2 linked regions of the Neurospora crassa OR74A genome follow. The protein of the gene in region 1 binds, or shares a complex with, the protein of each later gene. Links are inferred from orthologs where the notes say so. Each region holds a gene or a part of one and is shown on either strand. Other genes may lie near its edges. The genes, in order: NCU04463 and NCU10747.

Region 1 (15,676 bases):
ACCTCCACGGAAGCCGGCTGGATCGTTTTCGCCGTCATCTTTTCCACCTTCAGCTCCGCGCTCATCATATTCCTCTGCTGGCGAAACACCCGTGGTTCGAGCAAAAAAAGCAGCAGCGCACAACAGCAAAGCGGGAATTCAGAGTCAAGGACAATATCCAGGCGCTCCGTACGCTACTGGTACTATTACCCAGAGTACTTTAGTGGTTACAATGGATCTTCAGAGTCATCAGAATATCATTATGCAAATACCGGGAGGGAATATCATTTGGAACAAACTCCGAATTACTACATCTATCCGCCGACTTATCCTCCATGCCCAGATCCACCGCCGCCCCCGCCGCGACCGCCGAGGACGCCGCCGCATATAGCTGTGTACAGAACTAGGCCGGTTAATGTGATGAGCTTTTTGGATCGAACACAAATGCGGAGGAAGCCACCGCCGGTGACAGAAGTGACTTCTCCAGAACGGACGAGTACACCAAGTCACGAGAGTGGCTCGTCTTCTTCAAGCGATTCTGGGCCTGATGAGCCTCTTCCGGATGGGGATGGACCTCCACCCAGTGGCCCCTCGGGCAGTCCCTCGGACGGCCCTCATCCAGATGGTCCTGCGCCTGGCTCAACTACACCTGCTGCGAATCCCATGGGTGTTCGCTCGCCCAAAGAAGACGGTAGCGTGATCTCAAAACAAGACGTTTCAGAGGCGCAGGCAAACTTCAGCAAGTTAATGTCAGAAGCAGGTACGATCAGTGAGAGGAGTGCATCTTCTCAGGCTGGCTCTGAGAAGTCGACGTCACTGAATCTCAGTCATCAAAACATGTCAAGGGATTCGAAAGCATCAATCCGGGAACCATTTGTGAATGATGAGTCGAGAGTACGGTCACCTGTATCAGAATTACGTTCACAACACCCACACTCAAGCTCGGAAGCGGAATCTCAGCGTGACAATTCCGCAAGACGAATTTCAGGTGTTCGTTACGTGAAGGCTCCAACGAATGCGTCGTCAAAAGAAAGGCGCCGTTCCATGGCAGTATCACCGCATGGCAGATCTCCAGCATCATCAAACAGCAACTCACCCACCGCAGCCCTCAGAGACACCACCCCCAAACCGAGTTCACATGCCTCACATTCGTCATCAAAGCCCTCCATACGCTCCCATACATCACGCAGGCTGGACCTCAACCCATTATCCCCCGGCTCTCGCGCCCCCTCCCACCACTCGCTGCGCTATGCGGCCTCCAGACACTCAAGCCCGCCCCAGTCTCCTACACGATCCCATCACTCCCAGATTCCAAGCTCCCCGAACCGCCACAGTCGCAGCTACAGCCGTAGCCATAGCAATCCTACCTCAAGGCACTCAAGCCCCCCTCAGTCACCTACACCGCCTCATCAGTCCCCGATTCCACACTTTTCAGGTCGTCAGAGCTATGGCCGTCCTACTTCACGACACTCCCCAAGATCACGCTCCATCGCAGGGTCAGGGGTATCTTCGATGCCCCCATCGCCGACAGTGACGGATTTCGCACCTATCTCTGCAATTTCCCACCCGCTTCGCTCTCCAGCTCCACCTGGCTTTTCTCGTTCCTCGCTTTCTCCCGCTTACAGGTCGGGTGGGTTTAAGGCGGCGTTGAGTCCACAACCAGATGAGCAGGATGAACGGAAAGGGTCGCGCCAATCATCATCGAGATATTCGAGACACTCTGGTGAGAAATCACCTTCAGTAGTGTCTGTGTCGGTTGTGGAGCTGCTAAGTTTAGAGAAGGAGCAAGATGGTGATGTTGGCATGGGGGAGCCAATGTCTCTTTTGGATCATGAGGAGTACGAGGAGAGTGAGAAGTGCGGGGAAAGACAGGGCAGTGAGGATGTGATGCTGGATGAGAATGAGGTTCAGCGGCGGGGTCGAAGAAGTGTCTCTGCAAATTCACAACAACAACGAGGTATGGATCTTGCTGAACATGAAGAAGAATCTGTGGAAATGGGACATGACCATGACAGCCACGGCGACCAGGATCCAGAATCAGAACCAGAACCAGAACAAGCACCAGAAGACTACTACACATCTTACTCACCTGTCGCTCCTGCTTCCATTACCAACCCTATACCATCCTCCCCCAACCTTTCGGGCCACTCATCGAACCTCTCACCAAAATCTCCCTATCATCCTCGCAAATACATACCAATTCAGGTACCCAAGGAGAACCGACCGCACCAAGCTAGTGTCTGTAGTGTCTCCGACAGCACTGATTCTGGGATTGGTGGCATAGGCGAGGCTAAGAAAGGGTGAAGATGAGGATGAGGGTGAGTTTGATGGGTTGGAAGTTGGTTAGTGGTGCTTGTGTGAGGTTGGGTGTCAGCGGAAGATGAGTGAGTGAAGTGGTTGGCAATGTTTGACTTGTTTGGAAACCTTTGCGGTGATGGTGGGACAAAGCGAGAAGATTTGCTAGTAATCAAGGAGAGAATTGGTAGTAGTTAGTGATGGAGTAGATGGGGAAGGAGTAATGGAAAGAGTGAACGAGAACAGGGAAGGGATGCAGACGATTAAGACCATACATGACAAGAGAAAAGGGAACAAAAAGGTAGCGGTGCTAGTAGTAAGTTTATTTGAAACCATCTTCCAACATCTTCTGTCACTATCGTTACAGTAGCCGTAGAGTTAGCCAGCAGGGGCGTACGTATCTCCTTCCTTCCTTCCTTCCTGCCATCCCTCCCAAGTCTGAACCTGCCCACTGCCCCATGCCATCCTCTGCCAGCAGCCTCCTCGTCACTTATCTCCAATTCCATCCAGTCGATAGGGGTACATATGGTACCCCCTCAGATCTTGTTTCTACTAACAAACCCAAGAAAAAAGCACGGTTAGCGCAATGGTCTAGCGCGCCACTTGGGTTGAGAAACAGAGTTGGAATCCCCGTGGACTCACAGTCAAAGACCGAGTTTCAGAGGGAATCGGAACATGAATCACCAGATAAAGACCCGGGCTCGAATCACGGACCGTGCAATTTATTTACCTCCTTTTTTCTCCTCTCCCCTCTCCGCGTCCATAATTTTTTTTTCTTTCTTTCTCTTACCTTGATTGCTGGTCTTTCGTTAGAAGCGCAGCTCTTTTCCCCTACTCAAACTCGTTGAAGGTTGAGGGACTTGGGTTTTGGACGTACACGGTCTTCAGCATTGACACCCCCGGTTCCTGCTTTTGATCTGGTTGGAGACTGAAGGGACTCTCAAAGGAGATTGTCGAGTAGAGCTTGATCTCAGTTAGCCATCCATGGATGCAGGCGTGTTTTCGTGCCATGCCTCTGTACTGGCACCTAGAACTATTCGAAAGAAGTCCCCGTTCTCTTTGCTTCCGCTTTTGATGATTCAAGGCCAGACGTAAAAGCGCAAAACCACCCTCTCGAGCACGAGTGTTTATCCTGAGAGATCAAGTGAAAAGGGGTAAAAGTGGAGACCGACCAGCATTTCACACACACATCGACAATATCAACTCAACCATCTTCATGTACCAAGACGCAAATGAGAAGCCAAAGCAAGCAGGCCCGGGTGGTCTAAAGTACCAGAGAGATGAAACGTGGAGAAAAAAGTCACATAAATACTTTATGTACAGTACACATTAACCAAACCAACCAACCTACCCACACACCAAAGCCATTGGTACCAATCTACTCGACAAAATGCTAGAAAGAGGACCACGGCGGATAGTATCGAAAACACCTACTTCCAAGGTCAATCAACAATGTATCGCTTTCTCTTAATTCTGGTTTCCTTCTCTTCGCCACGCCATCTTCATAGCGATATTTTCAAGGCCCCGACACAAAAGAGGCAGCAATATTCAATATTCGTAAACATAACTCACAGCAACTCCCTCGCTTCCATGTCTCAGGTAAACCCCCTCTTCCACTTCCCCGGGATGCTACCCATCATTGAATCCTCCCCTGCCGCACCACAACTCTCATCCGGAATTTCCTCCACCGTGGTCTTATACGACGTCCGCTTCTTCTTATTCATGGGCGTCTTGGGAGTCGTTGGATTCACCTGGTCCTACCTGGTGCTGAACAACAGACTGCCCTGGGCCTCGGCCTGCGACAGCATCTCCACCTTCCTCTTCAGTTCTCTCGTGTCCCTCCTGGTATCCGTGATGCTCGCCGCCTGAGCGGGGTCCCTGGTGCCGGCCGCAATCGCAACCAACGCCTCCTCGGCCCTCGTCAACAGCTCAGCCACCCAGGTGGTGATGGCGCCGTCGCCGTTCTTACCCGATGCCGAACCGCGGTGCTCGATCTCGCGGATCCACGAGTCGACGACGCAGTTGATCCACTGTACTACCAACTTCCTGTGCTTGCCAACGAAGGGCGCCTCCTGAGCGTCAAACATGTTCTCCAGCACGCGGGCGATCAGGGCATGAGGAACGCCCAGCTGCAGGAAGGCAGCGACAGGCCAGCAAGGGTCAGCACCGATCGAGGCGTCCTGGTGGTTGTTGATGGCGTAGGCGCAGACCATGGGGAGAAGAGTGTCGACGGGGAAGATGAGGCTGTCGAGGGAGGTGCGGTGGGCAATGGACTGGATCTGGGAGACAACAGCCTCGTAAGGCATAGGGGGTGGAACTTCAAGAGCCTCGACACCCTCGGGCAATGCCTCGCCTGCCTCAATGAGGCGCCACACCTCTTGCTTCTGCTCGGTCTCAAAGTGGATCTGGTTGATGAGATTCTCCCACGTCTCTTTGATGGTGTGCGGGTTCTGGTAGTCCGCGGCGTTGTAGATGAGCAGGCAAAGGTCGTAGTATCCGGCCTGATCGGCGAAATCGTTGAAGAGCTACATGGTACAGATTAGCAACTAAAATAGCATCATACTTTTAGGGATTGACTCACAGTAGAAAGGCCCTGGACAGGACCATCCAGAACCTTCTCGATGTCAGGGAGCTTCTCAGGTACTATGCGAGGATCGGCCCTTAATCTCTCAAGCAAATCGTCCTGGATGTGGGCAATTTCCAGAAGCTCAGTCACTTCGTGGTTGAGAAGCTGCTGCTGCTGGCGACTCACACCGACAGTGGTGACGCTGGCGTTGGCCTTTGCTCTGCTCAACAAGGTAATGCGTTCCTTGATGCCAAGGGGGAAGTCTGACTTGGCGAGCTCAGCCTGCACTTGAGCAGCCTCGAAGAAGCGGCTGCGTTGTGTGTAGAACCGGCAAAGAAGATCGGCGTGCTGAGCATCAACCGCAGCGAGTCTCTGCAGGTACGTTACGACATGAGGAGAGTCGATGGCCAACATGCGGTCGGTCCAACCCTTCTCAATGTACCAGTCGTACAAATCAAGGTGGAAGACCTCGTCGTCTGAGCTATTGACGACGCTGTATGCCTCCGCCCGCTTGGTGGCAGCAAGAGTTGGCCTACCGTCAACAACATCGGGCTCTGAGGCCGACTCAATCTCTAGCCGGTCAAGGACCTCATGTATCAAGGAATAGCAACTTTGCCGGTCCTTGAAAGCCTTTTCACGGGGATCGTTAGCCGGCTTGCCTTCGTTGAACCAAGCAAGGGCCGCGTTTCCACGGTCCTTCTCTCGCGCAACTATCAAGCACAGCTGGATAGCACCAGCGTAATACTTCAAATTGATGTACTGTTCGACCGCGTTGCGCAGGTTGGTCATGGTCAGGCTTCCCGCGACCTGGGAAAACAATCGCAAGCTCTCCGCAAGCAAGGTGCGCATCAGGTTAGGATTGCCCGATGACTCGCTGGCCCGCTGCAGTTGTTCTTGAGCCTTGAAAATGACAACGTCATCAGGGGAGCAGAAAGTGCCGCATCTTCTCCTGAGTGCATCGGCAACGGTCTCGACATTGGCTCCGTTGGCAATGTTGCGGTTAACAATAGCCTTCACCAGAACCTTGGCGAGCTCCTTTCCAGAGTCCTGAGAGAACAAAGCTTCATAGGTAAGGTTTTGCAGCTGTTGCTTGGACGAATCATCTAGGCGCATGAAGATGTCGGTTACCCGCTCATCGAACAGCATCAAGACGAAAGAGATGCCCTCAGACACGCTGTCCATAAGCTGACGCAGAGCGTGGAGAGACTGGTGCTCCAGCTGCAAAGCGATCTCCTCTTGTCTGCTAGAAACCCGATCGGAGGGTCCGGCCAGGCCCTGGATGAGACTTTTGTTTTCCTCAAGGAATCTCCTTAGTCGTTGCACACTTTCCTGTACCGTCATGAGCTTGGAGATGGGAATCGCCGAGCCAACAGTGAACCCGCCCGAAGCGCTATCCGTGGCTATCTCAATGACCTTGGACTTCCATAGGGTGCGGGCGAGGCGCGCAAGATAGAGCACCAGCGCATCGTGGCGAGCCGAGAGCTGTACGTTGTCCTCCGGTGCCTGCAAAACATCTGCGTCCGCAAGCTTGGGCTGACCACCGTAGTTGATGAAGATGGACCGCGCCCTGTCCTCAGTAAGAGGATCCACAGCACGACGGGCGTCTCCTCCTTGACCACATGCTACCGCCAAGGCAGCCGCGACCATTTCGACCCTGCCGTAGATGGCCGTAAACGTTTTCACCTTGCTGTCCAAATCCTCATCGCCAGATGCGACACGAATCGCATTAGCGAAGATGTCAACAAACCTCCTGCGGCGAACGATATGGATACCGGTGTTGGTGAGCACAGCGAATTCGCTTGGGGTATGATCGAACTGAACAGCTAGCTCGTTGCCAAATCCGAGCGGTTGTTTTGCAGCCGCAAAAGGGTTGCCAGTAAGACCGATGGAAAGAACTCGGCTTCCGTCACCCAAGGGGATGAAAGTACCTTGCTCAACATATCTGAGTACAGCGCTCTGCTTAAGTCTGCCGACATCGGGGGCTGATACAAAGAGCAGATCCGTGCGACTCTCTTTGGGTCGAACCGCGTCGAAGAAATAACCCGGAGGAAAACGTTCACCAAGGCAACTTTCCGAAAGTAAGCCAGACATTTGATCTTGAGCTGCTGCAGGTGCAGGTGCATATGCAACTGCAGTGTTGATCTCGTTGCGGAGGGGAACCTGCTGGTCTTCGCTCGTAGGAGGAAACTTGATGTATTGGACCTGCATGCTCTGAGGAGCAAGGCTGGTTGAGGCGCTCAGCATGTAGGATGCCGCGCTCGTCGCAGTAAGGAACAAACGGCATCCGGTGTTGGTGAGTGCCATGAGGTGAGACTTTGAGGCTTCTTGTGCCGAGATGGCGCTAAGAGAGACGATTCTCACTCTCTCGTTAAGCAAAGGGTTTCTGTTCAAGTCAACCATATGCGTCATGTCACTAAGGCACGAGACCTTGTTCTTTTCGATGACTTTTGTCAGTTTCCCAGAGGGCTCCATGAAGTATGTTCGAATGGTGGACTTGTCCGAGAGCGAGTATAGGAGTTTCCGAGTATCATCGACAACCAGCTGAACAAGGTGTTCCTGATCACGGTGGCCCAAGAAGCCCATTGGCACTGGGAGGTTAGGAACAACTGATGTCCAGCCAGGGTGTGTGTGGTTGACCTTGGCACATCTGCTAGAGAACCAGCGCTCCTCCTGCTGGTAAAGGAGCTCGTAGATGTCGGTATCGGTATAACCGCCAAAGAAGATACGGCCGTTCGAGGTACCGATGATTAAGCTGACATCGGTGCTTCCGCGATGTACTGCCATTTTTGTTTGGTAGAGGGCGACGGTCTTCGATCCCGAAGGGGTAGGTGTCGCGGATACGCCCAGCAAAACTATCTCGGTGCCCGTAGCAACGACTAGAATATGGGTGATGTTACTAACGAACACGCCAGGTTTGGGGGGCACTAGGGCAACCGCGGTGATGGTGGTGGTGGCATCCTCGTAGCCGATAAGTTCGGGGTTTGGGTGGGTATAGTCCCAGAGAAAGAGGGAGCTGTCAATAGCAGCCCACGCGTAGTTGATGTCGGCAAATAGGCCGAGTTGCGTGTTGACCTCTCCCCTGTTTAACCGCTCAAAGACTTGATCGGGGATGGGATACATATGAGTCTTCTTGAACGGGGCGCCGGGCGCGTCATCAGTCCTGTACATGTCATAGTCCGAGGAGGAGCCAGCTATTTGGGAGAGACATGGTTAGCCAGTCCTACCAGGTACCATGAGGGATGGAAACCTAAACAGGTAAGCTCACCTCTAGCATAAGAATCAACATCGGGGTAGTTCTCGTCACGTAGTAGGGTATTGGTGATGCGCCGCGCGGCCTTGGCAACCGGTGGTAGATCTGTGCGAGCTTGAGCTGGCACCATTGGAACAGGCACCTGCGAGACGGGACGAGGAGCAGCAACAGTTCCAGCACCGGCGCCGCCAACAGAGCCCGAAACGGGCCCAGTCACGGGTCCGGAAGCAACTCCGGCACCACCAGCATTATAGGACCCGAACCCTCCTAGCACCGGCCTCGCAGTGTTCTTTTCAGGAAGCGAGTCCAAGTAGCGTCGAGCATCATCGGTCCTGGGCGCAGCGGGCGTGTTGAGGAATGCACCGGGCACTTGGCGCATAGGTGTGGCTGGATTCATGATGGCGGATATGTGATGCTAACACCCGACAGGACGATGGTGGGATGGCAGCGGGATGGTTGTCGGTGCCACCTGCAAAAGCGGTTCAGAGTTCGTCGCGAGCGTCGAGGGGAGGGGAAGCTCCAGAACGAGGCGGATGGAGGCTGATGGAAATCTGGCGTCGGCACAAGTTGGAGCTCCAAGGGTGCAGCGTGATCTGGCAGCTTCGTGATTCTCCGCGCTTTGCTGTGATGCTGTGTTGTCGCTCTTGCTTCGTTTGCCCTCTTGCTTCAGGTCTCCCAAGTTGGTTGGTTGGTTGGTTGGTTGCTTGAGGTCACAAAGTCGAGAGCGCGGTGCTCGCTGCAGTCGGTGGGTGTACTGCTACAATTGCACCACCATCAAAGAAGGTCTGGGAATCCAGGGGAAGCTATAAAGTCCAACACGATGCGACGTGGTCGAGGAGCAGCGACCACAGCTTGAGGTGAAAGCGGTTGAGTTGTTGTTGTGGTGTTGAGAGCAAGGAAGCTCTGCGCGCGATTGGGCAATCACTGTCGAAGGTGGACTGTGGATGAACAGCAGAAGATTGAAGAGGCTGGCCCGCTCCGGCGGCGGGCTACCGTAAACAATTTTTGGCTGGAGAACTGGGACAGCGGTACGTACCTCTACCGCGACCGGGCAGGAATCATTGGTGCCCAGGGCGGTCGTTTCGCGGCTGGCAACTGGGACCTGCGACCTGAAACGCGAATTTTGGACGCGCCTGTGTGCCGGAGCAGTTGGACGGCGGGGACCACAGAAGAGGCGCTAACCTCTTTTTGGAAGCATGTTTTTCTACCGCCTATAGAATGTCGAAACCGTCCAATCATCGTCGAGAACGTCATCGAATGCCCGTCACTAGAAGTCGGATTTGCAACTCAGAATATCAACTATAGACAGACAGCAACTGCTCTTGATCTGTACCAAAAATACATTGTGCAAAAATATGGTTGCTTCATGATCATCGTTCAATTATCATCTTTTAGCTTTCTGTACATTCCACTCACATTATGAACTCGTCTGCTAACAACGGGCCGAAGTTTCTCATTTTCTCTACAATAGATACAGGGTCCGAAGGGTGGATGTAACGCAGGCCAATGGGATGTGTCTTTTGGCTAGAGCCATCATGCCACAAGTCCATGCTCCTTCCCAGCTTCACGTGAGAAACATGGTAGCTAGAAGCTGCGATATGCGCTTACTGCTTCTTGGCTTCACGAGCGGCCTTGCGGAGAGCGCGGTTGCGGATGTCGATGTGCATGTTCTTGTTCAGCCTGAGGGTAAAGTAGCTGTAGGCACCGACAGTGTTCTCAACAACCCACTTGAACACAGCATGGCTCCACCAGGGGGTGTAGGTGTTAGGAAAGGGCTCGGAGCTGTTGAGGCCAACCTTGCCGAGAGCAGCGCGGACGAACTGCTTGGGGTTGGGGATGAGGAGGCTGGTGCGGCGGATCTTGCTCATGGCAGTGGTAACGAGGTAGCTGACAACAAGGTGGACATCGACGCCCTGGTCCTTGAGCTCGGCAGAGAGAGCGCTGCTCCAGTGCTGGAGGAACGCCTTGCTGCCGCTGTAGGTGGCAAGGTAGGGGGTGGGCATAACACCGGCGAAAGAGCCCATGGTAAGGATAAGACCCTTCTTGCGCTGGGCGAGGATGGGAGCGACAACCTTGGTGGTCTTGAGTGTGCCGAGGCAGTTGATGGTGACAATGTTCTGGAGCTCGTCGCGGTCGGTCTGGAGGAAAGGAACGGGGATGCTGTGGGACTGGCCAACGTTGTTGATCAAGATACCAATGTCGAGGCCCTTGATGAGCTCGGCGAGACGCTCGTAGTCGGAATCGTCGTCCTTGGAGAAGTCCATGGCGAAAGTCTTGGCCTTGAAACCATCCCATCTGAGCTCGAGCTCCCTAGCAAGGACGTCCAGCTTGGACTGAGTGCGAGAGACGAGAACGAGGTTGAAGCCCTTGGAGGCGAGCTGCTGGGCGAACTCCTTTCCGAGACCATCGGAGGCACCAGTGATAACAGCCCAGGTGCCCTTCTTGCCATACTTGCGGAGCTGTCAAGGTTGATGTTAGCCACATTCACCTGACAATCTTCAGTCCCAAGTAAGTTTGCGAAGAGACGTACGTTGGTGCCGCTCAGGATGAAAGCGTTAAGGAGCAGCTGGAGGAAAGCGCCGACGCGAGTAGCGACGTAAAGGGCGCCGATGCCAGCAAGGGCCCATTGGCCATATTGAGGGACAGTGCCCCAGATCTCGGCAACCTTATCCATTGCGTACGGACTGTCGGCGAAAGTCGTTGATGAAGGAACGCCTTTGGTTTGAATCGGGGAGTTGTGACACTTTCAAAGTTGGGTCCGGTCGCAAATAATTGTTGGGAACTTTTTGGAGGACCTGGGGTCGACTCGCCTACTATGTACACTTGCATGTGTCAGCCGCCAAGATTTTCGAGACGTCCCGCCCCGCGGCCCCGGCGAGAGGACCTGGGCAGCTGGGTTGTCCCCGCTTTTGCCGAACCATCACTCACTCGACGCCGCCATTGAACTCCGACGGAGCTGGCCATGGGCCAATGGATAGAGGAGAAGGGGGAGCCTGGCGGATTTTGTTTGTTGTCTCCAAAATGTCGTCCAATGCCCGTGGACCTGCGTCCATGATGCTACGATGACCCCTGTCTCTCGCGCTTGAGAGTGGCCCGAAGTGTGGTTTCCATCCGATCCTCGAGCCGCTGGAACAAATGGAGAGCTGCAACAGGAAGGGCAACTAACACCTCAACAACAAAAGGTCTTCTCAATACAAATATCCTGGACTTACGATAGCTTTCTTCCCTGACGACAAACCGCTTCATAACTGTTTGAACCAAATGGACGCTATCAAGGCTTTCCTGCCTTCGGGCGAGAAGGGTCTCCTTCCCTACTACCTCTTCTTTGTAAGTTGACGGTTGCTGGTCCCCCTGACTCTTCACATGGTTTCGCAATTAACACGCCCTTCGTCCAGGTCTCCATCGTAGCTATGGGAAACGCCCTCCAAAACTACACTACTCTCCACTACACGCGACGCCTTTACAACGGCCGTTTCGTCCCCAACCCTTCCCTGCCGCCCGCAAAGGGCAAATTCAGCCCGGAGGACAGCGTGGACGTGCTGAAGCCCGTCTCGCCCTCAGAGGCGGAGAAGAAGGAGGCGGCTGCCAAGGACCAAGTCACGCCGCTGGCGGCCCGCGTCTTCGGTACCTACACCTTTATGGCCGGCATCATCCGCTTCTATGCGAGCTACAACCTCGAGAACGAGTCGTTGTACAAGCTCGGTATCTGGACCCATGTCATCGCCGCCGTGCACTTTACGAGCGAGTTCTTCATCTACAAGACGCTGCGTTTCAGCGGACCTCAGATCTTCCCCTTCTTGGCGGCGTATGGCGGCACGTTGTGGATGGTGTTGCAGTATGGTTACTACGTCCAGTAAAAGACAGGTGCAGCTACCAGCTGGTCTTTGGGAATCAAAGCAGGAAGCAGTACATGGCCCCCAAAAAGGAATGGCGAGTGGACTCGGATCATGACCATAAGAAGCGCGATCGCGTATTAGGTGAAATAAGACTCCGACGATAGGCTTTGTGGAAGATGTACCACTTATTGATACCCTTTTCGGTCAAGAAGCGAAGCAAGCGCATCATACATTTCCACTACTGCAACGACTTGCGATAGAGCTCACCACCGCAGTCTCTGAGTCGCGCAGCCGCTTGCTCCGGAGTGATATCCCTCTGCGGCTCAGCCATTAACTCGTATCCGACCAAGAACTTGCGCACGGTAGCAGACCGAAGAAGTGGAGGGTAGAAATGCATATGGAACCAGCTCGTCTCAGCCTCTTCCTCTGTGCAATCCAACGGCGCCTGATGAATACCCGAGCCTTCTCATACCGTTAGCTCCTTTCTCCCTTTCTCTCTCCTTCGGGCAGTTGCAGAGGGTAGTAGAACTTACTATACGGAAAGTTTGTCTCGAACAAGTTATCATATCTTCTCGTAACCTCCTGCACCGCCTCGGCAAACTGCAGCCTCTCCTCGCTCGTAAGCTCCACCAGCGCGCGCACATGTCTCTTCGCAATGACGAGCACCTCAAACGGCCAGACAGCCCACCAAGGGCAGACGACCAAGAACCCGTCGTTCTGCCAAACCACACGCTCGCCCTTGGCCATCTCCACCTTGACGTAGTCCTCCAGCAGATGCCTCCCCTTGTGCTCACGGTGGTACTTGGTCATCTGCGCCAGCTCCTTGCCCGGCTCCTCGGGCAGCGTGCTCGTCGTCCAGATCTGGCAGTGCGGATGCGGGTTCGAGCAGCCCATGGCCGCGCCCTTGTTCTCAAAGATCTGCATGTACCGCAGCTGCTGCTTTTTCGCGGGCTCGACTTCGCCGTCCGGGTTAGGTGGAATCTCGCTGAGTGAACGCGCGGCGGCGTCCCTGAGCGGATGCGAGGCAGACAGGTGGCTGGCGTAGATGCGCGTCCAGGTCTCGATCACGGGTACGATCTCGGTCGCGCTCATGTCCGCCAAAGTGGTGTCGTGCTTGGCGGAGAAGGTGAGCACGTAGCACCGGCCGGTGGCGGGCTGCGCTTGCAGGAGGAGAGAGGCAATGTCATCGTCGCCGTCACCAGCGGCGTCCTTCCGAGGGTGGTACTCTTGCTGTTCCTCTTTGACGGCGCTGTAGTCGTTGACGAAGGCGAATGTGTTTTTGTAGTGCGGGTTGGAGTCGCCTTGGGCGCGCTTGTTGCCGGGGCAAAGGTAGCACTGGGTTGCAGTTAGAGTGAGTGAGAGTAATATAAAGTCATGAAGGGACGGGGATTACGCACCTGGGGATCATACTCAGGAAGCTTGTTGAGGGCTGGAGCCTCTTGCTGTCCTCTGATTGCAACTCGTCAATTCAAACTAACCCGCTGTATTTCTTTATTTCCGGTGTGGCTATCGAGGACTCACTGCCATGGCCTCTTTGTTCTGTGAGGCGATACAAGCAGCCAAGAGCCGTTGAGCGGGTTGTAGCGACGATGCGAGATGTCGTCAAGCACTTTGTCGGTCATGGTTGCGCTTCAAGAGGCTTTCAGGAAAAGAGTAATGTGGGAATTGGAAAAGAAGGCTTGCGATCAATCAAGGGTGTTGATTGGGAAATCAATTTTCTTATAAGTGAGGTGTTCAATAATGTAGATTGGTGGTTGGTATTTTGCACTTTTGAAGTGTATTGGTAGTCATATGCTCGGGGATAGCATCCCCGAGGCAACCTGGTCACACTTACCGGATTGTTTTTATGGGTACAACGGCCGGGTAGCAGACAAGATGAAAATGATCCGATCTGTTCGGTGTTCTTCGGCCTTATTGCCTAGAAGCACCCTACAGATCAACGGACCGTTTATTTACAGGAATGAAGTCGCTTGCCTGATAGTGATACACTGGCTCAGACTGGTGTGCAACTTTTGATGAGCATTCGAACTCGCTTCTTTCCCGAGTTTTCTGAGGCGCAAAAGGCACTGTCATTATCAGACAGCAGCCTGCATCAGGATGAAATTCATATTCCATGTGTACCTGCCTACTTCAGCTACTGCACTGTTATGGAAGTGTGGAGGGCTACCTCTAAGCTGCTTCAGCCTCCAGTGCGCCCGGAGAAACAGGGTGAGCGACTGGACGTCAATTGGGATTCACCGTATTGTGTTTCAACTCGAGCACTGATATACTGCAAGATCTGATGCTCTTCAGAGGATTAGCATACAAGGAGAGCTTGTGAGTTGGTTACAATACGGGTGAAAACATGGCAGAATTTATAGGAACAAAAACATCACCACTATGATCCCCAATTCGCAAGCAAATGTCCCCTCGTTGGTCGTTACCCCTCACCATGGTTTACCAATGGAAGCAACCCCGCGTCTAAACAAGTTCTTGTGGGGCTCCTCCGCACCAGGGGCATGATATTAGTGGAGCGGCTGCACTCGCTCCATGCTTCGCTGTGCGCCAACTTGACAAGGGACTTCGATCCATCAGTCAGGCACACTACGTACCACCTTGTATTTGTGTAGCAGATCTGACAGACGGCGAGCTTAAAAGTTGACTGACCGTTCTGCCAGAATTTGTTGCAGGATATACCTTGGTACTTTGCCGCCCGATCTCTGATGTGTGATATCCTTTGTTCGTCAAGCTCACCGTTCCTTTGTCGACAGTAGAGGTACATGATACGTAAGCAAGTAGCTACGGGTTAGGGTTGTGCCACAGAAGCGGCAACTCGGGACAACGTCGGAGCCAGAATGACTTGGAAGTGGGCTCCCAGCTGGAGCCACCTGTCCGCTCATTCAGATGTTGCATTGTGGGAATGCAGCCCCTGGCCCTGCTGGTTCCAGGCGCATCACCCCCTCGTACAACCGCAACATCGTTGCCATCAAGGTCGTCGACATAAGTCCATCGACAACTCGCCATCAGCCACCTGGTTCATCAATATACGCATTACAGAAGCCTCGCGAACCTCTGCGCTTTCTGTCAATGCCATCTATGGGGCTTTGAGCGGTGGAATTTGGCCTACATTAACCCCTTTTCTGACTCCTCCCGCCCGGCGCATTATCGGATTATCCTAACCCCCGTCCCTCGGGGACATCCACCATGGGCGTCATCCGTAAGAAGATCGCTGCACGAGGCGGCGAGGGCGGTGTCAAGTATGTATGCGACGTCTGCTCAGCAGACATAACGTCTACGGTAGGTTTGTGTTTTCATATAGTTAACAAGCCTCAACCGTTGTTCTCGTGCTTGGACGTCATATCTCCCTTCCGATGCGGCCGCTACCGCTGCCCCAGACCTCGCGTCGCGCGAATCACGAGACGACGTTGTGGGGTTGGGGAACCTCTTTGGACTCCAGCCCTCTGGCTCCCAAGAACAACAACGACAACAACAACAACAACAACAAGCAACAACAACAAGCCAGCTAATCTTTCCACTTCGCACAGGTCCGAATTAGGTGTGCACACAGCGCTTGCAATGAATATGATCTCTGTGTCCAATGCTTTGCGCAAGGAGCGTCCAGCAATGCGCATCAGCCACAAACCCATCCCTATCGAGTAATCGAACAGAACTCGTTTCCAATCTTCGACCGAGAATGGGGCGCGGACGAGGAGCTCCTTCTTCTGGAGGGCGCGCAGATCTACGGCTTGGGTTCGTGGGCCGACATTGCGG
Region 2 (15,737 bases), on another chromosome or scaffold:
TCGACTTCAACGATGATCAGGGCAAGTTCGTTTTCTGGCACTCGAGTGCCCACATCCTCGGCGAGGCCTGCGAGCGCAGATTCGGCTGCTCTCTGTGCATTGGCCCCCCCGTCGACAACGGCTTCTACTACGAAATGGCTCTTCCCGGCGGTGCCGCTGTCCAGTCTAGCGACTGGGCACCCCTCGAGAACATCGTCACCAAGATCGTCAAGGAGAAGCAGCCTTTCCAGAGACTGGAGATGAGCAAGGAGGATCTGCTCAAGATGTTCGCCTACAACCCATACAAGCAACACATCATCAAGGACAAGATCCCCGACGGCACCAGAACCACTGTCTACCGTAACGGGCCCCTTATCGATCTCTGCCGTGGTCCTCACGTCCCCGACACCAGCAGGATCGAGGCTTTCGCCATCATGAAGAACTCCTCTTCCTACTTCCTTGGTGACGCCAACAACGACTCCCTCCAGCGTATCTATGGTGTCTCGTTCCCCGACAAGAAGCAGATGGCCGCTCACAAGAAGTTCCTTGAGGAAGCTGCCAAGCGCGATCACCGCCTCATTGGCAAGCAGCAGGAGCTTTTCTACTTCGAGGAGTGCTCGCCCGGCTCTGCCATGTGGCTGCCCCACGGCATGCGCATCAACAACGCCATCATGGAATACATCAAGGAGGAGTACTGGAAGCGCGGTTACGACGAGGTCATGACTCCCAACATGTTCAACGTCGCTCTTTGGGAGCAGTCCGGTCACTTGGCTCACTACAAGGATGACATGTTTATTCTCGACGTTGACAAGGAGCAGTTTGGTCTGAAGCCCATGAACTGCCCTGCTCACGCCATGATGTTCCGTCACCGTGACCGCAGCCACAAGGAGCTTCCCCTCAGGCTTGCTGATTTCGGTGTGCTCCACAGAAACGAGGCCAGTGGTGCTCTCTCTGGCCTTACCCGTGTGCGCAGATTCCAGCAGGATGACGCTCATATCTTCTGCCGTGAGGATCAGATCAAGGCCGAGGTTGCCGACCTCTTCGACTTCATGAAGTCCTTCTACGGCATGCTTGGCCTCACCTTCAAGCTGAAGCTCTCTACCCGCCCTGAGAAGTACATGGGTGAGATTGAGACCTGGGACCGCGCCGAGGCTCGTCTCAAGGAGGCTCTCAACGAGTTCGTCGCTGCTACTGGAGGCACCTGGGAGCTGAACGAGGGCGATGGTGCCTTCTACGGCCCCAAGATCGATATCGCTGTTTTGGACTGCCTCAACCGCCCCTGGCAGTGCGCCACCATCCAGCTCGACTTCCAGCAGCCCATCAACTTCTCTCTCGAGTACATGACCGCTGATGCCCAGGCCAAGCAGGATGAGGACAAGGCTGCCTCCAAGGCTGCTAAGCCTGAAGCTCCCAAGGAGGAGGAAGAGGCTCCCAAGGAGGGCGAGGAGAAGAAGAAGAAGGCTCTTCTTGTCAAGAAGCCCCTTACTGCCGGCTGCGCCCGCCCCGTCATGATTCACCGTGCCATGGCTGGTTCCATCGAGCGCTTCACTGCCATTCTTGCCGAGCACTTCGCCGGCAAGTGGCCTTTCTGGATGTCGCCCCGCCAGGTCATGGTCATTCCCGTTGGCATGGGCTTCCTTGATTACGCCAAGGAGGTTGCCTTGACCCTCAAGAAGGAGAAGATCCACGTCGGTATGTTTTCCCTGACTCACCCCCGTTATTGGGCAAACAAAAATCGAATACTGACACCAAAACCACCACAACAGATGTCGATAGCAGTGGCAACACCCTCCAGAAGAAGATTCGTTCTGCCCAGCTTGCCCAATGTAAGTCGCGAGCCTGTTCCCCTTTACCAAAATTGCCCCTTCTAATGACGCAACACAGACAACTTCATCTTTGTCGTCGGCGACGACGAGAAGACCAACCGCAAGGTCAACATCCGTTACCGTGACGACACCTCCACCCAGGCCCGTGACGTGCCCTACTCTCTCGAGGAGGCCGTCGAGAAGCTTCGCGCGCTCAAGGCCGATCGCGGCATGTACAACCCTTTCCCTGCCCATAACCCCAAGAAGGAGGAGGCTACCAAGGAGGAGGTCAAGGCTTAAAGCTCCAGCTCAACTTAGGGAGTACATGAAGCAAAAGAAATAACAAACTCAAATTTAAAAGTTCATGTTGGCAGCAAGGGGGCGGCGTAGGCAGGAGTATGGGTTATAGTCATCTAGCATATGCTTGTTACAGAACGGTAGAGAAAGAGGCGAATATTTTTGTTAAATCTTATACTAAGGAGCCTTTGATATTCTTTGGAAATGGTTTGGTGGTCTGTCGCTCGGGCGCACTGGTGCTTCTGCATAGACCTAAACACTGCATATCAGAAGAAATGATTTCGCGTAGACAGGATACGGACAAGAAGGCGAAGACGGGAAAAAGAGAGAGGGTATTTGTATTCTAAAATGGAAAAGCGTGTACACACTCGCACTACACAATGCAGCCAACCGGATAGTGACCAGAAAGGAAAATGGCAGGAAAAAAAAGAGAGCAGGCATGATAGTCATTTCAACAATTCTCAGAAACCCCCCAGACCCACGGCTAGTTCCTTCTTCTTCTTCTTTCACTTTTTAAGTTTTCTTTTTGTCTCCGCTTTCCATCTGTTAAAGAATTCCCCGTCTTTTGCTTTCCTGCCCAAGACCTTTCTGTCTCTCAATCTTCCCTTTCTCTTCACCGACGTTCAACTCGTAGCGGGCTTCTTCCTTATTGAAATCCAGGCCTTTACCTTTCCATAAACCAACTCAATCATCCCCGTCCCTCGTTCCTTGCGGCACAAGTTCGTAGACCCTAGTCCGTCTTTATGCTTTCAAGGCTTGGGAATATGAATGGTCTTGCTTGTCATCAAGCAGCCGTGGAGCATGAAGATGAGGACAATGGGGTGGAATTCGAGCGCGGTGCCCTGGAACATGGTACCCCACGGAAGTGAATCATGAATCCAGCCTTGCGACACCCAGTAGGCCATAATGGCGTCCAGACCGAGCGTCGTGGGGATCGGCGTGCCCTCAAAGTAGGCAGCCTTGCCGTTGGCGTCCTTCGGGATGGCGGTCGCGGTCACGTTAAAGCGGGCGAGGCGGGTGAGGCCACAGAGGATGAAGAAGCCAAGGCAGAGATGGTCGAGGGGGGTACGGATACCGATGGCGAAGGCGACGACGGCGGGTGCGACGCCAAAGGAGATCTGTTGGTTGGATGGGTTGTGAGTTAGAATGCTTGATGTCCCGGAGAGGGTCGGGGTCGAGGAATTGGGAAAGCGTGGGCAATAATGATGTACACGTACCAGATCAGCCAGCGAGTCCAGCTCTTGGCCCATCATGCTGCTCTTCTTCCTCCAACGCGCGACCTTGCCATCCATGAAGTCGAAAAACAAGCCAAAGGGGAGGAAGGCAAGCGCATAGTAGATGTTGGTCTTGTCGGCGGGGTCACCGAGGCAGTACCGCAAAGAAGAGAAGAGGGAGAGGATACCGCAAAGGCCTAGTAGAGTTGCAAAGGCGTTAGCATTCTGTGACCACGTCTTCTATGATATGCCAACTCGCGCACAAGTTGTGCGTCGATATCATCCTTGGGGAAAATCGCGGAGGTTGTGACGGTCTTGCTGCTTTGGCGCTTATAGCCCCAAAACCCAGCGTCACAAGCTATGCTAACCAGACAGAATGCGCGAAAGGATACAAGGAGACAAAAACTAACCATTCAATTCAGTAATGAGATCCGCGAGATGCATCGCGCGAATGAGAGAGAAGTGCCCCGCATCTGTAGAGAAGAGAATTTTTTGCTTGTCGTGAGCTACCGATTGACGCGCCATGTTAGCAACAGTTGTCTACCTTAAGCGCTCAAGGGCTTGCTCCTTTCAAACAGCGGATGGTAGATGATATCGAACAGGTTCGCATAAGGAAGGAAAACATACAGCGATCGAACTCGGCAGCAGCGGCGGAGGTGGAGTCGTCTTGGGTTGCGGCGCCATTGGCGACCGACGCATAGCTCGGCCGTTTCGACATGGTTGCGGTCGTAGAGATGGAGTGGAAAATTCACTTGGAATCTCGTGAATGGGAGAGATCAGATGGGTGTTGTCTCGTCGGGCGCTTGTCGTGTCTTTTATTTTTTCTCGGTTGGTTCTTGAGGGGGGAAAGTCGCCGGATGCAAGGAGGGTCCTGTAAATAAGAAGAAGAAAAAAAAAAAAGTTGATCAGCTGGTGCTCTGAGAGAAGGTGCAGCCTGCTAGTATTCAGTCGCCTCTGCATGCATGTGAAGATGGGATACCAAAGGGACAGCGGCAGGAGATGCTCACCAAAAGACTAGTTGAGGAAAGTTACTTTTACGGCCTTTTTCTTGCAAAGATGCAGAAGATGGGGAAGAATGTTTGTTGGTGAGGGGCTGGGACGAGTTTGAATGCCTCTACGTGACCACCTAGACCACGGCAGGACAACAACAAGGTGGTGGTATCCAAGTGCTTGTTGGTCACGGTGCCTTTCTGGTTTCGAGGTTCCCCCCTACGGGCAGTCCAGGTCAATGCTTCTCTGGAGGTCTGGATGAAGGGAATGACAGGGTCCTGCTTTTGTGGCAGGGGTCATGCCGTCATTCTGCGCAGCGAAATCTGGCCTTGGCGGGAGCCGGGGCGTCGACCGACTCGAGACCGCCTTCTCAAATCGTCCTTGGGCTGTTTGGCGGCCGCTTCTCTGCCGGCACGACTCGCTACCTTTACTTGACCGCCTGCCCTTCTCGTCCCGGCCGCGGGGACATTGTCCAAGATTACGTCACAAAAAAAGACGTGGTGATACAGACTTGTTAACCAACAACTTAAGCAAGGCTTCGAGACAATCGTCGATCGAGAGACCAGACGGATGGCGCGAGTCCTGCGCGTCATGACCTCCCAACACGTCTTTTGTCCTTGTTTCACTTTCAGTTTATCTTATTAACCTTTGTGTGAATGTGCTGCTTGGTTACTACCCGGCTTTGTCCAAAATCGAAACCCACATTCCGATCTTTGAGCCGTGACAAAGTCCTTTCCCCCTAACATCAAAACAGTTCGTCGCTCTACACTACGCACCCCTGGGAAATGACTGTACTGCAGAAACAACCCCAAGTACCTTCCCAGTTGACGGCCAGTCCACGAAGGGATGGATGTCTATGAACCGTTTCGCGATTTCACCTGTTCGTGTAGCTCCCTCAGCACACCACGCTCGGCAAGCTTCGTCACCCATTCATGAATTGCTGGCGTGTGGTCTTTTCTTCGACCAGGGTCTTCATTCTGAGCATCGCCGTCCTCGTCACCCTCCGGCCCAGACGCGACTTCTGTGTAGTACTCCGCCCGAATTTGCTCCTGCTTCTGGCGGAGCTCTGTTCTAAGAAGCAACGCTTCAGCCATCTCCATCCCACCCGTTTGTATATCATCTTGCAACCGACGAGCTTCTGCTGAATTTTTGATCATGAGTTTAGCTTCGTCAGTACTGAGCTGGAATTCGTCCAGCTTACTCTGATCGTTGAAGTTGCTGATATGGTCCTTGAACGAAGACGAGTCATTGCCTTCCTCGAACCAGGCCGATTCGCTTCGGAATGCATCATTGAGCAATTCCGTGCAATGGATGTTGACAGCGAGTTGACGCCGCAGTGCGGCCCGACGGTCTCCGCAAAGAGCGAGAAGGCTAAACGCCAACTGATCGGCCTCGTACTCCATCATCTTTTCTTGGATGACAGGTTGCGCTACACTCGTCCAGTGCGCCCCTTTCTCAAATTTGCCTACAATATTTGTTAGTCGCATCGTGTCTGAATTCTTTCGTTGAGTAGGAGAGACACACCGACGTAGCGGGGGTTAAACTTCAGCCCATCGAGTTCCCACACGCTACGGTCCCCGTGGTTTGGCACATATGCAACAAAGTGGTAGGCATCCTCCATCTCCTGCTCCTTCTTGCGGCGCGCTGTGGTTCTAGCCCGCTTTTTTTTGCTGTCCTCAACCTTGTTCTCGAGGGCCAAGGCTGCATTGAGAAGGTCCAGACGCCTGTTGAAACGTCAGCTCAAGCCGTTTATGCTCAGCCCTTCTGGGAAGCGGAATGCCGTACGTACCTTGCGAAATGATTATGAGCTACCCTGATCCACGAACTGTTACTGAGCAGGTGACCACGCAATGGCGGAGATAGCGGTCCAGATTCCTCCTTGAATTTGGATAGATTTATGTCCAGTGGAAGGTCTTGGGCGTTCATGATGATGTTGAATAAAGCGACTGTCGCACACGCGTTGTTGGTCGTCTGCCAACCAAGGTTAGCCACAGTCGAAAACAGAGGGAGGCGCCAAAGGACAAACTAATGACTTGCCTGGTTGGCGAACCATAACCCAAACTCCTCATCTGGCTCCAGATCTTCCTCCTCCTCTTCCATGACCTGGAATAGGAACACTAGGCCATACAGAGGTTCCCTACGCGCAGTCAGTACCTGTTGATACCCCTTGATGCAACATGGGAAGCGCCATCGACTCACGGGAGAAGGAGGAGCGATTCCTCGTCAACAGACAATACCTCCCTCACTTTTGCCTCCCGTATGCCGAGTAGTCTGAGAATACGGTTGAAGAAGACTGGGTCAGACTCTACGTCCGTCCAGCTTGGCCATTCTGCCAGCTCATTTTCTTGCCACGGTCCTAGCGAAGCCTCCAGGACGTCCATGGGCACGTCAAAGACTTCAGGGGCTGCCTTGCGCTTGGCACTTCGTCGGGGTCGAACAGCTGTCGTTGGCTCCTCTGAAGCGGGCGACTCCTTGAGCATCGATAATCGCTCGGGATCGGCTGACTCTTCCAGCTTTGCTGAGGCCTTCGAATCGAGTGACGCCCTCTTCCGGCTGGCCTTCACACCGGCAGACGAATTGAGTTCGTCGTCAGAGCTGAGTTCCGCATATCTTGTGTTTGGCTTGCGGGCACGCCCTGAGCGACGGGTTGTCGCCGGCTCACTATTTGGATCCATCTTTCAAGGAAAGTGTCGTGGAATGTACTTGATGGGTTCGACAAGCAGTAACCCAATCAAGCTGAGGGATGTATGTTGATAAGGCTAAAGAGGGGGGGGGGGCAGGCTGCTCGTCTTTTCCAGCTCTGGTTTTAGGGACAGTCGCCGTTTGGAGATAGTGTAGCGTGGGATCTTGCCTTGTGACTTGTAACCGTGAGACTCGGGATATGACATGCCGCGAACATTACAGGGAAGTCTGGTATGGAGGCTGTTTTGTTCGCTCCCAAAGTCGATGGGTGAATAAGGTAAATGATCAAATCTGAGAGGCAGTTCAAGTTGATGGAGGAGAGTACGCCGGGGATGTTGTAAGTGACTGCACCAATAACTCGCTTGCAATCAGTCCGATGAAAGTTTGGTGGATCAGCTCTTGGGTCGAGCCCAAACCGGCAGACTAACGAGCAGTGGATGTAGTGACGATCTCATGCGATCAGTAGCGACAAGATGGTGAGGTTGTAAAGAGAGAAAGAAAGACGGCCTTGATGGAGGTCGGTGTTATGTGTGTAAGTGCCGTCGCAGGCGCACACAGACACTTGGGCAGCTGCTACACTACATCCGGCCGGATACTGTGTAGTGTTAAGTATGTAGAGCCAGGTAGGTAGTAGACGGGAGGTACACTACCTACCTACCTGATGGCGGACCACCACTCCTGCAAGTGTCATCAACCTACCGTAGCATTTGTGCACCCCGGGTTTCACGGGAGCAATTTGAGCATCAGGTTCAAGTCTAGACACGTTTCGGATCCTTAAAGACGGCTACGACGATCTTATGATAAAGTGCTGCCCATCTTTGCCCGGTGAGCTACATGTTGCTCGACCTCTTTTGTTTACTTCCCCCTCCACTTTCGCTCAATACCTGGGTACCTACGTATTGTCCCATGCACTGTCTGACTGCTTGAAACAGCTGAAGGCAGGGGACCAGGTAAGCTTCAGAAAGCACTGACCAACAGAAAGATGGGGAAGGTTTCCCCATTTCTCCAATCACAATCGTCTAAACAGCCATTGGCACACGCTAGTAGGCCAGCCAAGCAGCACTTGCAGTGCGGGCAGCGACTGCAAAACCTCAAAGAGACCACAACCGCGTCTTTGACGTGACTTGTTAGTTTCCAGAGTGTTGGGAAATTTTAGGCCTGTCTCTGCCTGCCCGCAAACAGGAAGAACAAGAGGAAGACTGAGAATGCCTGTTTTGATGTCGGCTCTCCATATCACCACTACTGCCAACGACTGATTAACCACGCCTCTCTCTCCCCTCGTGGACCATTCATTCCTTCCCGTCCTTCGGCGATTGATAACAACGACAACGACGACGACGACGATAGCTACGAAAATCACGACGACAACCACAACGTGCACATTGTTGCGCCCCGTGGCCACTACCAAGCCGTCAAGCCTTCACAGACTCGGCATGCCATGGCAGGCAAGGACTCTATAGGCGGCTTTCCCATGGCCGGACCACGACGACCCGAAGCTGCTCCCGCGAATCGCGCCCGAACAGCAACGCCCAATGCCCTCCCCGTCGCCCCCCAGAGAAATGCACCAGCACCAACAGGCCCAGGGCCAGTGATCCCGCTTCACGTTATCGATGCGCCCACACAGCGCCTCTACGCCGTTGCCGTCTACGCGGCTCTTTTTGCGTGGAAGGTGTACGACTGGACCCAAGTGGTGGAAGAAAATACCGAGTCTTTCTGGCTGTTCCTCAAGTGGATCGCCCTAGACCTCATCTATCTCTTCGGCCTGCCCGAGCTTAGGATACCATGGCTCGAACTCTCCCAGTCCTTCGTCGTCTTCGCCTTTGTTGCCCACGCCTTGGTTGACTGGATGCTCATGTTCAACATCGGCCTCCCGTGGCAGACATGGCTGTTCGGATTTGTCAAGGTCTTTTACGACCGGGAGCTTGCCATTACCGAACATCAAGTCAAGGTGTCCAGCATCCTCTACAATCACTCCCTCCTCATGGGTAGGCAGATTATCAACATTCTCCCAGAAGGGTAAGTCATACCAAGCAAGAGCACTAGTGAAAAGGCCCGGCAAAGCTGACCATTCACCAGCTCTGTGGTGCTCAACCCCGAAAACACCCCGTACTGCATTGGAGGGGACACCAAGGTTGCCTCGATCCCTCTGTTCTTCAATGCGACAACTCCCATCGATGTCGAGATCATCCGCACCGACCTCGAGACCAACGAACACGAAGTCATCAAGTTGACAAGAAACCAGCTCAAGGAAATCAAGAATGAGGTCAAGAGGAACGCAGATGACGAGATCTTCACTGTTAAGTACAACTTTCCCGTCAAGAAGCCTGGTGCCTATCGATTGGGCAAGGCGCTTGACGAGTATAAGCTTGAAGTTCATCGCAGGACTGCCCTCACCTTTGTGGTCCCTTGCCCTCGCGCTAGCGTCGAGGTAGTCTCCTCGCCAAACCGCTGTGTCGGCGAGTTGTCTGATCTCAGCCTCTTGGTTGATGGCACGCCGCCACTAAAAGTCATCTATAGCCGCACCATCAACGGCAAAGACCACAGCTTCAACATCCAGAGCTTGCAGCCAGAGGGCTTCTCTTCTCCGCTCCTCGGTGCTTCGCGTAGTCTTGCGAGACTCATTGAGGATGATGACGTCTCCTGGGCTCGAGCTCAACGGGTCCCCGTCAACCTCAATGAATCCATGAACGCTGGTGGAGTCTGGCAGTATTCCGTCGATGAGGTCCATGATGCGTTCGGAAACGTTGCTAGGTACACCGGCCATGCTGACGACTTGGATCCCAAGACAAGGCCAAAGCATCTGGTGCAGAACCTCTTCGTCAAGGAGCGACCGCGTGCGCGTCTTGAAGGGTGCGACGTTAGAAATCCTCTCAAGGTTGCCAGGGGCGGTTCCAAAGATCTTCCAATCAGATACGAACTTCCTGGCCCCGTACCCGACGACACTACGTACACCATCAGCTGGCTATTCTCGCCGATTGACACCCTCACCAAGAGCGGTGACCATGGGGATGTTGTTTCTGTTGGCACCTACGACACCAAGAATGCCAGGGACCGGCCGAGAATCGCTGCGCCTGGTTTGTATACCCTCAAGTCGGTTGTTGCCGGACAATGCGAGGGAGAGGTGCAGGAGCCGTCTTCTTGCTTGCTGCTGAACCCTCTCGAGCCCAAGCTCACGCTGCGCTCGGAGGAGATTCCAGATACTTGCGCTGGAAATTCCATTGGGTTGCGCGTCGACATGGACCTCATTGGTACTCCACCCTTCAACGTCAGATACGAGGTCATTTCCAATGGGCAGCGTTCGGTGGAGCGTATCAAGGTTAATGGCCTACGTTTCCAGCAAGAATTCATCCCTAGAATTGCCGGACATCACAAGTACGTGTTCACACATATTGGCGACTCCATCTACGAACCTCAAAAGCTCAGCGGGCCCGAGTATATCCTCGAACAAGATGTCAAGCCAGCAGCTTCTGCCAGCATCATTCACAGCACTGGTAACATGGCCGCTTGTCTTAACGACGATGTCTCGGTGGATGTGCAGCTTCAAGGCGACGCACCATTTACGCTGGAATGGGAGATTATCCATGACGGCAAGAGAAAGCAGTACAAGGTCAAGGATATCCAGACGAACAAGTATCAGATCAAGACGGGCTCCCTTGCTAAGGGCGGCGAGTATACTCTGGCGTTGACGAGCGTCCAAGACAAGAGAGCATGCCGTAACTTTGTGCAGGATGAGGTCAAGGTCTCAGTGCGCCGCCAGAACCCAAGAGCAGCGTTTGGTCTTATCGATGCCAAACGCAGGACCATGGCAGTTGAGGGCTCGACGGTCAAGCTGCCGCTTCGCCTCACTGGAGAGGGCCCATGGAAGGTTTTCTACAGCAATGTCAACGATACCTCGAGAAACGCCCCCCGGGTCCTGGAAAAGACGATCAAGCACGACAATGACTTCCTTGATGTTCGCACCAAGGGTATCTTCCAGATCACAGATGTCTGGGATCGACAATGCCACGGCATTGTTGATCCGAAGGCATCGTCTTTTGAAGTCGACTGGTTCCCTCGTCCAGAGCTCGCCATTGTACAGTCTGCGCACGTTCAGCCAGATGGCACCAACAGCTTTGTTGTGAGCGATGTCTGTGAGGGCGACGTATCTGGATTTCAAGTTGCACTCAAAGGTAAATCTACTATCAGCCGCCCCATCAGGCACATTCCTTGGTTTCCCCACAGCCTGCTAATGTCTACACAGGAACGCCTCCCTTCCATGTCGAATACCAGATTCGCCATCAACCTGCGTCTGGGCCAGCTTCTATCAGTAGGAAAGATTTTGAAGCTGCCCTCGGCAAAGCTTCCGTCCCTGCAGACACCTCCAGGGCGGGCCAGTACACGTACACGTTCAACTCACTTTCTGATAACCTCTACATTAATGACCGGACTTTCAAGCCCGTGACTGTTAAACAGAAGGTTAATCAAAAACCCACTGCCGCCTTCGCCAAGCCCGGTCAAACCTTCAAGTACTGCAAGACGGACCAAGGTGAATCCGAGTCGATTCCCATCACTCTCAACGGCGTCCCTCCCTTCAACCTCGAGTTCGAAATCAGACACCAAAGCAGCCCGATTCCGGAAGTGTACCGTACGCCTGCAATCAACTCCAACTCGTACGAGATCCAGATCCCGCGTCACCAGCTGCGCCTTGGAACCCAAACGATTCGCATTCGCAGCGTTCGCGACGGCAGCGGCTGCCACTCGATCTCCGATTACACATCTGCCCACAGGGATACTCCCGATGGCAAGGCCCACTCGGTTCAAATCCAGCTCTTTGAGGCGCCCACCATTTATCCTCTCGAGACTCGCACCGACTACTGCGTCGGCGAACGTCTGGGGTACTCCCTTGCTGGTGCCGCTCCCTTCGAGGTTTGGTATACCTTCAACGGCGAGGAGTCAAGGGCCAAATCTCCCACCACGACTTTCCGCCGTATCGCCGAGCACCCCGGTGAGTTCACGATTACCTCGGTTAGTGACCGGGCATCCGAGTGCCGCGCTCCTGTCAACATCTCCAAGACTATTCACCCTCTCCCCGCGGCCCGTATTTCCAAGGGCAAGCAGGTGCAGACGGACATCCACGAGGGTGGCGAGGTCGAGATTCTTTTCGAGTTCTACGGAACCCCTCCGTTCGAGTTCACGTATACTCGCAGCACCAACCCCAAGAAGAAGGGTGAGCGTGCGACGGTGTTGGAGACCAAGCACGATATCAGCGAAGAGTATAGCAAGGTCATCAAGGCCAGCCAGGAAGGTGCATACGAGGTCGTGGCCATCAAGGATCGGTTCTGCGCGTTTTCGACGCAGATGCTTGGGGTGGAATATGTGGAGGGTAAGGATGGGCGGTTGCTGAAGTACCAATGATCACCTTCTTTGTGAAAATCAGAAGACAAAAAGGAGTAAGGCATGGGAGGTGGCAAGAAACGAAAAGGGGTCGGACATGAAGGGAGGAAGGCGGAGGAAAGAGAATCATGCAGGGAGTCTCAGAGAAACAATGCTGGGTGACACGGTGTGCTCTGGTCGGCTGGCCATGGCCACGTATGGCATGAAGTGGGCTGTTGCACAGCTGGAGGAAGCAAATCAAAAAAATTAACGATGGAAAAGAAGATGAGAGAGATAGGGTTCTAGGGATGGAGATCTGGTTTTCGTGTTTTCGTTTTTCTCTTTTTTTTTTTGTAACGAATTACTACCACTACTCTACATCCACTTATGTGTTTTTCTGTAGACTAAGAACATAGCATGGCGTTTTCTGTCTTTATGGGGAACGAACAATTACCACAACTCACGAGAATGAACGGAATAGGATATGATGGGAAGGCAGAAAGGGCGGGCGGCAAGGAAAAGGATTAATGAAAAGACTTGAAATCATGCTGAATCAGTGTTTCTGTTTCCGTGCGTCCATTCCTTGAAATCGAAAAAAAGTGTTGCAGTATTTCAAACGTGTTGTGTTGTCATATATATACCTTTCCATATTTCTATCCAATCCGTATCTTATGCAATGCTCTCTCTCTCTCTCTCTCTCTCTCTCTCTCTCTCTCTCTCTCTCTCTCTCTCTATACTTCTTGCTGAATTTTTGAATGGTCCACTTTCCTAAAAGCGACCAACTGCGCGAATGCGGACTCCATCCAGACCGGCCTATCCCATTCAAACTTTGTCCCGTATTCCTTCTCCTCCTGGTCTCCATCCATCCATCCATCCCCGGGGGAGTCTGTGCCTTCTTCGCCCTCTCCCCAGCTTACTTCATCCCGGAAGTCCTGGTTAGCCCCGTCACTACCCCCTCTCCCCATCACTAGCACTCTTCGCCCTCTTCGCAGGGCTCATATCTCCACTCGGTCGATGATGCAGCTTCTTGTTCGCCAGCACATCATCCCTACTTCTACTACCACTACTACTGCTACTACCAATAGTACTAATCTCCTGCAGGCCAAATAATAACGACCTAGCACCGGCTACCGGTGAGGAGCAGCTATTGCTTGCGAGGAGGGTTTGCTTCTTGAGGGAAGATGGCACAGGTACAGACAACACCGAGATCGGTGTAACCACTGGCACAGCAGCAGCACTCTCCAACCTATTCAGCGCCTCGGTGAGTTTTCTCCGAGCTTCGAGCTCTCTGTTGGTACTTGGAGAGCTGGAGAAGGATGAAGGAGGAGGAGGAGGAGGAGGAGAGGAGGAGCAGGTAGTAGTATTATAGGGGGAAGGTGACGATCGAGGTCGATAGAACTCTTTGACAATGCAGAGCGCGGCGTGGTAGACTTGGTAGAGGAGGAGGCGAATGCCGGCGTTGGGGAGGTCTTCGATCAGCGAGGAGATTATGTCGTTGTCGCTGTTGCTGCTGGCTTCTGTTGGTGGCGGAAGGCTGGATATTGTTGGTGCAGGTGCACGAGTAATGGTGGTTTGTTCGGTGATGGCTGTGATGGACATGACTCCTGTGTTGGTGCTGTGGGTGCTGGCACTTGTGTTTCTACTGCTGCCCCCGAGATGGTTCGCATGGGTAGAGGCAGGACCGGTTTCGAAACCTTCCATGAAGGATTCCGAGACGCCGTCGCTGAAGATGGTAGCTAATAGTGGATCGCCAAAGACGCAGTTACTCCAATCTTGAAGGCCGGTAAGCGTTAGTCGTCGTTCTGTACCGATGTAGTTGTCTGACGCGGATGATGCCGGTTGTGGTGCTGTCGTGTAGTTGCTATAGCCGTTTGTACTTGTCGTGCTCTCCACGGTGACCAAGGTGTTTGTGTCATCAGCCACGTCAATAACCACTAATCTCGGCGTCTTGACCTCGTTGAGCAAGTGTTCAAACCGCCTGAAATGTCTTCGTATCTGCGAGTAAGCCATTGTGACCGCCATGTCTTCGCCGTCTCTTAGAACACCCTCCAATAACGACTGAAAGGCAGTTGACCAATTCCTTGCTCCGTCGGCTGCCACCAAGCCGCCTTCTCCAAGCCCAGCCACCTTGTCCGAAAGCTCTATTCCTGGCATTTTAGGGATGACGACCGCCACGGGGCCGAACCTGCCCGACGGTGAGGTCATTGACGAGAGGGATCGGTAAAGTTGGCCGAGATGCTTATCCAAACGTTTACGCTCCAAGTGGCTGGGGGGAGAAGGTAACAAGGCAACAGGAATGCCATGTTGATTCTCGAAGACGTTGTAGGCTGACCCTAGCTCGACCGGACCGTGACTTGAAGTATGTACGAGGGCCGGGAGGAATCTCTGAAGTGTTGGGCTTGTAAAGCTAGTCAAATGGTTTCTGGCAAGAGCATCCCTGATCCATTGAACTGTTGCCGCTTCGAAGCCTATTATGAATTGTTCGTGCCTCAGGCGTCTGAAGAGGACTTGTGGCGGGAGTGAAAGGAGGAGTGTTTTGCCGTCAGAAAGACTGACTTCGAATATCCTTTGTGGTCGAAGGGAAGCAATGGGTCGCAAGCTATCGACCTTTACGTGACTGGGTATGGTCGCGCTGAGGGCAGCCTGTACCGATTGTTTCGACGGTTGTCGACACATAGTAAGACTGTAGGGAAGGATATGTCCTAGGAGTAAGAGGTTGTGAATGGGAAAGATGTGATTTGGAAGGTCGACGGAGGGGACGACTTTCAAAAGACAGTCATATCTCTCTTGATCCAAGAACAATGCGGCCAAAAGGATCCCTTTAGGACCCTCGCAGCTAGATGACTACTTGGAGCCTGAGTACTTGTACCCTACCTGTGATGTGGGGAGATGTATATAGAGACTGAAGGGTACTGTGGTACTTTCAGGCTTGTTTTGATTGGGAAAGGGGGCGGAAATTTCCGTTCGATGATGGGCATCGACAGAGCTAGCCAAGCATGTTGGATCTCTGTATACTAAAACTCAGCAACTTGCCGGCAATTGGTATTGTAGATCGAGACGGTAGGTGATGATACCCGATGCTGCTAAAGATGGGAGAGGAGATCAACCGTCGTCTGTTCGAACTCTTTTTTTCTTTTTTTCTTTCTTTTTCTTTTCCTTTGCCTTTTGGTATGATTGACCGCCGCAAGGATAGGAACCTGGAGGATGAAGGAAGGAAACAGGCTCTGTGGACTCTTGGCTGCCCACTTAGATAAAGGTAGGCGTGAAGCTGAGACAGAATCCGTTTACACATGCTCTTTACGGACAAGATCCATATGTACCCCATATGCCCGTCAGCTCGGTAGCAGGCCAGGATCAGGATGGGTTACCAGGCCGTTCCGCATAGGGGATGCGGCCCGGACGAGGAAGGACCCGGAAT

Evidence for each region.
Region 2: NCU04463 (region 1) and NCU10747 share a complex: the UniProt entries of both Saccharomyces cerevisiae proteins name them as parts of the nuclear pore complex. The link is inferred for Neurospora crassa OR74A from reciprocal best matches to the Saccharomyces cerevisiae genes NUP170 and POM152.

What each region holds. Positions count from the first base shown.
Region 1 is NC_026504.1:3,269,579-3,285,254, forward strand, and holds NCU04463 (non-repetitive nucleoporin), read right to left. Parts: upstream 9,063-15,676; 5' UTR 8,488-9,062; coding exon 8,106-8,487; intron 8,032-8,105; coding exon 4,856-8,031; intron 4,800-4,855; coding exon 4,032-4,799; 3' UTR 3,562-4,031; downstream 1-3,561. Other genes in the region: NCU04464 (hypothetical protein), read left to right, coding at 1-739, 893-2,283; NCU04462 (3-ketoacyl-CoA reductase), read right to left, coding at 9,695-10,549, 10,621-10,764; NCU04461 (transmembrane domain-containing protein), read left to right, coding at 11,352-11,417, 11,486-11,947; NCU04460 (galactose-1-phosphate uridylyltransferase), read right to left, coding at 12,165-12,388, 12,460-13,261, 13,324-13,375, 13,448-13,548; NCU04459 (SAGA complex subunit), read left to right, coding at 15,110-15,202, 15,451-15,676. UniProt on the Saccharomyces cerevisiae protein: Functions as a component of the nuclear pore complex (NPC).
Region 2 is NC_026507.1:2,683,968-2,699,704, reverse strand, and holds NCU10747 (hypothetical protein), read left to right. Parts: upstream 1-8,057; 5' UTR 8,058-8,405; coding exon 8,406-8,983; intron 8,984-9,043; coding exon 9,044-11,136; intron 11,137-11,207; coding exon 11,208-12,361; 3' UTR 12,362-12,870; downstream 12,871-15,737. Other genes in the region: NCU02380 (threonyl-tRNA synthetase, variant 2), read left to right, coding at 1-1,671, 1,746-1,805, 1,864-2,084; NCU02381 (phosphatidylserine synthase), read right to left, coding at 2,831-3,199, 3,299-3,492, 3,706-3,801, 3,923-4,013; NCU02382 (hypothetical protein), read right to left, coding at 5,140-5,750, 5,810-6,009, 6,075-6,256, 6,323-6,422, 6,485-6,960; NCU02383 (hypothetical protein), read right to left, coding at 13,268-14,995. UniProt on the Saccharomyces cerevisiae protein: Functions as a component of the nuclear pore complex (NPC).